Lonchura striata: one gene and its partner. The protein of the gene in region 1 interacts with the protein of each later gene in a pairwise test. Links are inferred from orthologs where the notes say so. Each region holds a gene or a part of one and is shown on either strand. Other genes may lie near its edges.

The links.
Region 2: the proteins of PDE6D (region 1) and RND1 interact in a two-hybrid assay, tested with the Homo sapiens proteins (2 studies listed by BioGRID). The link is inferred for Lonchura striata from reciprocal best matches to the Homo sapiens genes PDE6D and RND1.

Annotation. Positions count from the first base shown.
Region 1 is NC_134612.1:18,215,581-18,219,323, reverse strand, and holds the start of PDE6D (retinal rod rhodopsin-sensitive cGMP 3',5'-cyclic phosphodiesterase subunit delta), read left to right. Parts: upstream 1-986; 5' UTR 987-1,079; coding exon 1,080-1,129; intron 1,130-3,743. UniProt on the Homo sapiens protein: Promotes the release of prenylated target proteins from cellular membranes. Modulates the activity of prenylated or palmitoylated Ras family members by regulating their subcellular location.
Region 2 is NC_134629.1:6,084,686-6,088,428, reverse strand, and holds the start of RND1 (rho-related GTP-binding protein Rho6), read right to left. Parts: upstream 2,842-3,743; 5' UTR 2,804-2,841; coding exon 2,684-2,803; intron 2,599-2,683; coding exon 2,511-2,598; intron 480-2,510; coding exon 370-479; intron 20-369; coding exon 1-19. UniProt on the Homo sapiens protein: Lacks intrinsic GTPase activity. Has a low affinity for GDP, and constitutively binds GTP. Controls rearrangements of the actin cytoskeleton. Induces the Rac-dependent neuritic process formation in part by disruption of the cortical actin filaments.

The sequences.
Region 1 (3,743 bases):
AGAATTTGCGTTATTCAGCCTGGAGAAGGTTCCAGGGTGACATTATTCAGGACTTTCTGTACCTGAAGGGGTCCTACAAGAAAGCTGGAGAGGGACTTTTTACAAGGCAATACAATTCTAGGGATAGAACAAGAGGAATGGCTTCAAAATGACAGAAGGCAGATTTAGATTAGATGTAAGGATGAAATTATTTCCTGTGAGGGTGCTGAGGCACTGACACAGGTTGCCTGGCAAAACTGTGGATGCCCCATCCCTGGATGTGTTCAAGGCCAGCCTGGATGGTCTTTAAAGTCCCTTTCAACTCAAGCTGATCTGTGATTCAAATTTCTGCAGCACAAAGAAGGCTGCCTTTGTTCCAGGGGGTAGCACTCTTTATCTTAAACCTTCTCCACAATGCTGGTCCCGTTGGCTCCGGCCTCGGGACACGCAGAATCACAGAGCTGTTGGGTTTGGGAAGGACCTCTGGCGACCATCCAGTCCAACTCCCTGCCAAGGCAGGGTCACTTGGAGCAGATGACACAGAACTCGTGCAGGTGGGTTTTGAAGGTCTCCAGCAGAAGCTGCTCCGGGTGGAGCTCCGCCGAGCAGCCCCAAAGACGAAACCTCGGGGAGCCGCTGCCTGGGGAGAAGCGCCAGCCAAGCTCCGGCGGCTCGGGGCCGTTCGGCCGCCGCTGGCTGGGCCCGGGGAGGCTTCTGGCCCCCTCGACTGCTCCCGCTGAGGCCTCCCGGGCGCGGGGACCGCCCGCAGCCCTGCCCGGTCACCCTGCGGCGCCGCCACCGCGGCCACGTCAGGCCCAACCACAGCGGCCCCGCGACCGCCGCGCACCCACCCTTGAATAGAAGAGCGCCGCCTGATTGGTCAGGAGCGCTGTCATTCCTGCGCCAGAAGGCGGGGCTAAGAGGGGACGGCAGCAGCTGATTGGTCGGCACGGCGGCGGGCGGCCGCTGGGGTTGGTTGCGCCGGGCAGTGGCGGGTGCGCGGGAGGGAGGGGCGGGGGGTCCCGAGGCTCCGCTGTCACCGCCGCGCTCCCGCCAGGCCCGGCCCAGCCCCGTCCGCCCGCCCGCGGCGCGGCAGGACCATGTCGGCCACGGACGAGCGGGCCAAGGAGATCCTCCGCGGCTTCAAGCTGTATCCTCCGTGCGCGGGGGCCGCGAGGCGCCGCGGGGGGCGCGGGGATCGCCGCCCCGCTGTGGCGAGGCCCCTGGGGCGGGAGGGAGGTTGCCATGGCAACGCGGTTCTCAATGGCGTCCGCGCTCCGGCGGTGACGGGAGGGTCCCTCGGGGCTGGGACCGGCCCTGGGCCGGCCGGGCCGGGGGGGCGGGGAAGGAGGCCTCGCGATGCCGGGGTCCCGTCCCTGCCTGCGGTGCCGCGGGTGAGGGGTCCCCGCGCCCAAAGTCCTGAGCCGGTGGGCGACCGCCGCCCCTCGGCCCCTGCCCGGCGCCGAGAGGGGCTGGGCGGCGGCGGCGGCCCCGGGCAGCCGGAGCCCCCCGCCCGCAGCGAGGACAGCTTACGGAGGGCAGGTGAAGTAGCTCTGCGCCTGGATCTGACCCCTTTCCCTCCGGCCTGCCCTTCAGCACCTCTGCTCGGAAGGGAGATACCTGGTCATCAGGTGCAGGAGCACCCAAGCACCTCGTTCCTTGTCATGCCGTGAGGTACTGGCACATGTGTTGGTCGTGCGGTGTCTTTTATTGCTGACGTATTCTGCGTGTAAATGCCTTTCTGTGCAGCTCGTTTAAAAACTTTTCATGTTGTGGCTTTCAAAAAGCGTTCTGATTTTATGCCTGTGGTACCTGGATGTGAATTTAAAGCTGATGAAATGAGATAGAGCTGAGCTTGGAACAGAGGCAAGTGCCTTTGTGCACCTTCCAACCCAGGATTTCAGCAAAGCAGAGAAAGGCTTGACCTAAAGGCCCATGTTCAAACTAAAGGTGTGAGAAATATTGTAGCTTTATTTTACATGTGGAATATTTTACTGAAGTAAATTCTTCTCAGCTTAGAAGGCAAATGCAAGATTGCTATCTTGATCTTTAGACATCAGAATATTGTTATAAGTTGGTTCTTTTTTTTTACAATAAAAAGGACAGAAGTGAAGGAAATATCCTCTTGATCGAAGCCTGTTATTTCTAAACAGGGTGGTGGGGTTTTTTGTTCTGTGAGATGTTCATAATCTCTATGCCAGCTGTAGCAGGATGTGATTTTTTAGGTTAGATTTAGACAGATAGCTTTTATTAAACTATAAGCCGATGCTTTTCTTAACTTTTTATCATTGCAGTCTCCTCCAGCTGTTAGTACTTCATCTGGTTCCTTTGCTTCTGCACTGGCACTATTGACAGTTCTTTGTATTTATGAAGATGTGGAATTTTAGCTGTCAAAAAATAAACTAAAAATCTTTTCTGCTGGCAATCAGAAGAATAAACTTCTCACAAGACCAGACTAAGCTGTTGGTAGAAGTGAGGAGTGCTTTGGAAGTTAAGCCTAGGGAGAAAACTTTTAAGTGCTTTTTGCATGTGTTTGTACATAGTATTTATTGGATAGCAGAATTTACATAAAGGCCTTTGCCCAACTCTGAATGAAATAATACTTTTTGTTGTTTGCCGTCTTAAAGAGAAAATGCATTTTGCTCTTTGAGAGGAAGGATGTCAGACAACAAATTATGATCTCAAGCAGCCATAGCATGGATAAGAAGTTTTATTAGAAGCACTCTGCAGTCTGTGTTGAAGCATCTCAAGTCTAGTCTTCCTTTGTTTGTCCTTGCAAAAAAAAAAATACTTCTGGCAGGACAGTTTAAGTTAAAATCTGGGGAGCTGCCACAGGGGCTGTGTAGTGCAAAGTCTGACAAACAGGAAAGTTTGGAGAAACATTTCATAACTGAAACTTTTAGCAAGTTGAAATAGTTGAGAAACATCTATGTTGCCTTTAGTAAGCCAGAAGAGAGGCTGAGCAGACATTCCTCATTTGTGGGGAAGCCTTGAGACACCACACCATCCCCACAGGAAACTGCTCATGCCCAGCTGTGGCCATGCTCCCTGCAAGGGAGACATCAGCTCAGACTTCCCTTCCCTTGTCCAAGGGCAGGCATCTGTTCCAGAGATAATTGCAGTTTAGAGATGCTTTATCTTCCAGCCACCCTATTGCTGCATGTACTCATTTAATTAATAGAAAGGAAGAGAGAAACGTGTTCTGAAAAACTGTTCAGTTTATACTTTGAGTATCTGAAAACTTTGTCCTCTGCTCCCACATGGGAAGGAGTTCAGCTTCACCAACTCAAGCAACTTTGGCACTTCAAACTGAAACTTGCTTTTGGCACAAGAGAGGAGCATGGCATTGCACCCAGGGGCAGTGTGTGAGGGATTCCTTGGGAGAGAAGAAGAGTTGCTAGGGCCAAAAGCATCACTGAGGAAGCAGGCTTCCAAAATAATCCCTAATTTTAACATGACAGCAGACACTTAAGCTGGAAGTCCAGTTCACATTGAGTAATCAGAGTTTCCTCAAACAATTCTGTTTCCTTGTGGTTCCTGAGAAGGGGTTAATTACAAGCTTTCCAACTCATTGGGGCACGCTGGATGATTGGGGTATGTGGAAATTAAATTATAGCCTAAATCCACCCTCTAATTTCAATGCAAAGATAGGTTTTCCTTCCTCTATGACACTAGTGCAGAAACATGTAGTGACTAATGTCCCAAAATCCAAGCCAGGAACATTTATTCCTTCTTCTCATGGATTTTGTTATTTTAAAAATATT
Region 2 (3,743 bases), on another chromosome or scaffold:
CCAAAATTTCCGTCTTCCACTGAGGGGTCGAGGCACACAGCTGCTCTCAGGGCAACCCCAAAAACCTCTCCCCACAGAGGCACCCCCCAGGACAGTGTCCTGACAGCCCTGAACCCCCAAACCCCACAGAGATCCCCCTGCATTGGTGTCCTCCCATCTCGGAGCCCCCCAAACCCCACGGGGACACCTCGGGGTGGTGTCCCCACATCTCTGAGCACCCAAAACCCCACAGAGATCCCCCTGCATTGATGTCCTCACATCTCTGAGCCCCCCAAACCCCACGGGGACACCTCAGGGTGGTGTCCCCACATCTCTGAGCCCCCCAAACCCCACGGGGACACTGTCCCGGGGCCTGAGCCCCCTCCCCACCTTCTTGGCCGCACTGTCGAGGGTCTCGGGGCGGCTGACGTCGAAGCAGAGCAGGACGGCGTCCGAGTCGCTGTAGCACAGGGGCCTCACGTTGTCATAGTAGGGAGAGCCTGGGGGAAAATTGGGGGGGTCACAGCTCAGCCCCCCCACCCCAGGGACATGGGAAAGGGGGTCTGGCTAAGGGACACGGCCCCTCAAATGGGACACAGCCCCCCAAAAGGGACAGAGGGACACACAGCTCTAGAGACCCCCAAAAGGGACAGAGACCCCGGTCCTGCCCGGGGTGAGGGCACGGCTCTAGAGACCCCCAAAAGGGACAGCTCCCCAAAAGGGACAGAGACCCCCAAAAGGGACAGAGACCCCCAAAAGGGACAGAGGGACACACAGCTCCAGAGCCCCCAAAAGGGACACAGCCCCTCAAGAGACACGAAGCCACCTCCTGCCTGAGGTGGCGTGCACCGCCTTGGAGCCCCTCCCCAAAAAAAGACAGAGCCCCCCAAAATAGACACAGCCTCACTCCTGCCCAGCATGAGGGTTCACAGTTTGGGAGAACCCCAAAAGGGACAGGGGAGCACAACTCTAGAGCCCCCCAAAACAGACACAGAATCTCAAAAGGGACAGGGGGGACACCGGTCTAGACTCCCTTAAAAAAGACAAATCCTATTCATGCCTGAAGTGTGTGCACCGAGCTCTAGAGCCCCCCAAAAGGCACAGAGCCCCCCCAAAACAAACACAGCACCCCAAAAGGGACAGAGGGACACACAGCTTTAGAGCCCCAAAAAACAAACACAGTGCCCCAAAAGGGACAGAGGGACACACAGCTCTAGAGCCCCCCAAAAGGCACAGACACCCCCAAAACAAACACAGCTCCCCTCCTGTTCAGGGTGGTGGCTCACAGCTCTAGAGAACCCCAAGAAGGACATAGGGACACACAGCTCCAGAGCCCCCCAAAAAGGACACAGCCCCCCAAAAGGGACAGAGGGACACACAGCTCTAGAGCCCCCCAAAACAGACACAGCCCCCCAAAAGGCACAGACGGACACACAGCTCTAGAGCCCCCCAAAAGGCAGAGACCCCCAAAACAAACACAGCAAGAGGGACGTAGGGACACAGCTCCAGAGCCCCCCAAAAGGGACACAGCCCCCCTGGGGCCGGGGAGAGGGGCACAGCTCTGGAACCCCCCCAAAACGCCACCTCCGTCCCCGCAGCCCATCAGCTGCATCGCGCCTTGGCGAGGCAGCGGGAAATGGAGCCCGCGGTGTTTATGTAACATCCCCCCCGCCCCCCGTTTTGGGGAGCCCCGGCAGCACCCAGGGGTGTCGGGGTTGGGGGGGAGAAGCCGGAGGAGGGGGTGGGACACGCTGCCACCCCCTCGGGGTCCTCGGGGACACGGAGCCACCAGCACCGCACCGGGGACCGCGGGGGTCGCGGCGCGGGGGAAAGGAGGGTGCGGGAAGGGGTCAGGGGGGTGGCGGGCTCCGGGATGTCCCTCCCGTCCGTCCCCCCCCGGCCCCCCAAAAGCCTCGGAGGGGTTTCGCAGCCCAGACGCTCCGTGCACAGAATAGCAAAGAGGCTGCGCCAGCGCATCGCCATGGCAACCGGGGACCGGCGGGGACCCCCCCCTACCGGGGGGGACACTGCAGCACCGGGCAGGGCTACCCCGACCCCCCCCGAAACTCTTCGGGGTGCCCCGGGAAGGGCAACACCGGGATACCCCATAATCCGCTCAATTCACACCATGGGGGGCTCAGCCTCCTGTGACCCCCCCAGGGTGTCTGGATCACCGTGGGGTCGGTCCCTGGGGAGAAGCTGCGCTCCCCACAGCCACGGATATGACCCCGGACCTGAACCCACCCCAGGGACCACAAAACACCCCCAAAACACCCCCGAGACCTCGCCACGGCCACCGGCGCCCCTCCCCGCCGCGCTGCAGGGCCCCGAGACACCCGAAACACCCTCGGGACACCAGAGCACCCCACCGCAGCGACCCCCCGCTCACTGCAGCATCCCGACCGTGACCCCCCCCCCAAAAAACCCCAAACCACCTTCCCCAGCAAACAACCGAGCCAGGGTCGGGCAGCCCCCGCCCCACTTCTCCGGTAGCCCCTCAAACGTGCACCGCGCGCGTCTGTCCCCGGTACCGGAGGTGTCCCAGAGGCTCAGTTCCACCCGCTGCTCCTCGCTGGCCAGGCACGCCGTGTAGTTCTCAAACACGGTGGGCACGTACGTCTGCAACGGGGCACCGAGAGCGTCAGCGCCCGGTTCCCGCTTGCCGGTGCCCGCTGCACGGTTCCCGGTGCCGCTGTGGGCTCACCTCGGGGTAACAATCCTTGGCCAGCACCTGCAGCATGGCCGTCTTGCCGCACTGCACGTCACCCACCAGCACCAGCTTGCACCGGGCCGGAGCGGCCGGCGCCGGCCTCCGCTCCCGCATGGCGGCGGCGGCGCGCGTGAACCCCCCCACTCGCACCCACCCACCGCCCTGCGCCCCGCCGCCGCAGCGCCCTTATATACCCCGCCGGCTGCAGGGCCCGCCCACGGCGGCGCCCGCTCGCCAATCAGCGCGGGGAATCCCGGAGCGCCGGCCAATAGCGGCGAGGCAGAGCTCGCGGGACACGCCCCGCAGGGGGTGCGGGCGCGCTCTTGGCCGGCAGGGGGCGCCGGTGCGGGGCGGGGCGGAAGTGCCGCGAGGCTCCGCCCGCCGCCGTTGCCGGGAGACCGGAGGGACGCGAGCGGCACCGGGACCGAGACCGGGACCGGGAGCCCAGAGCGGGGAGCGAGACCCCAGAGGCGGAGGTGGGGCTGGGCAAAGGGCAGTGGGCGCTGGGAGAGCGTGGGAGGGAGGGGGTGAGCTGGGAGGGCTCTGGAGATGGGCAGCGGGGAATGGGCCTTGGGGGAGGCCTGGGGAGGGAAGTGGAAACAGGGCTGGAAGGGGAGAGGGGATGAGCAGGGCTTGAGGGGGTCTGAGGGTACTCTAAGTGGAGGGGACAGGAAAGGGAGGGAGCCTGGGGAGGGAGACGGGGGTGGGCAGAAGGTTATGGGGTGTGGGGTACCCCATAGTGCGGGGGGCTGGAGGGGAGGGGGTCAGGCCTTGGTGGTGGGGGGGGGCTCTGGAGGGACCACCAGGCAGACCCCGGGCATCCCCCGACCCCTCCTGCCGTGTCCCCTTCTCCAGCCATGGCGGGGCTCCGTCCCGCTGCCCCCAGGGCGGCCGAGGACGAGCTGCTGCTCCTGCAGAGACAAGCGCTGGCTGAGGAGGAGGCGGCCAAAGCCAAGCGGGAACTGCTCACTCGCTTCCTGCAGGTCCGGGACCCTGCTCCAAACTCCACCCCTCTGAGCCCCCCAAACTGCTTTTCCCCACCAAATGCCCCCAT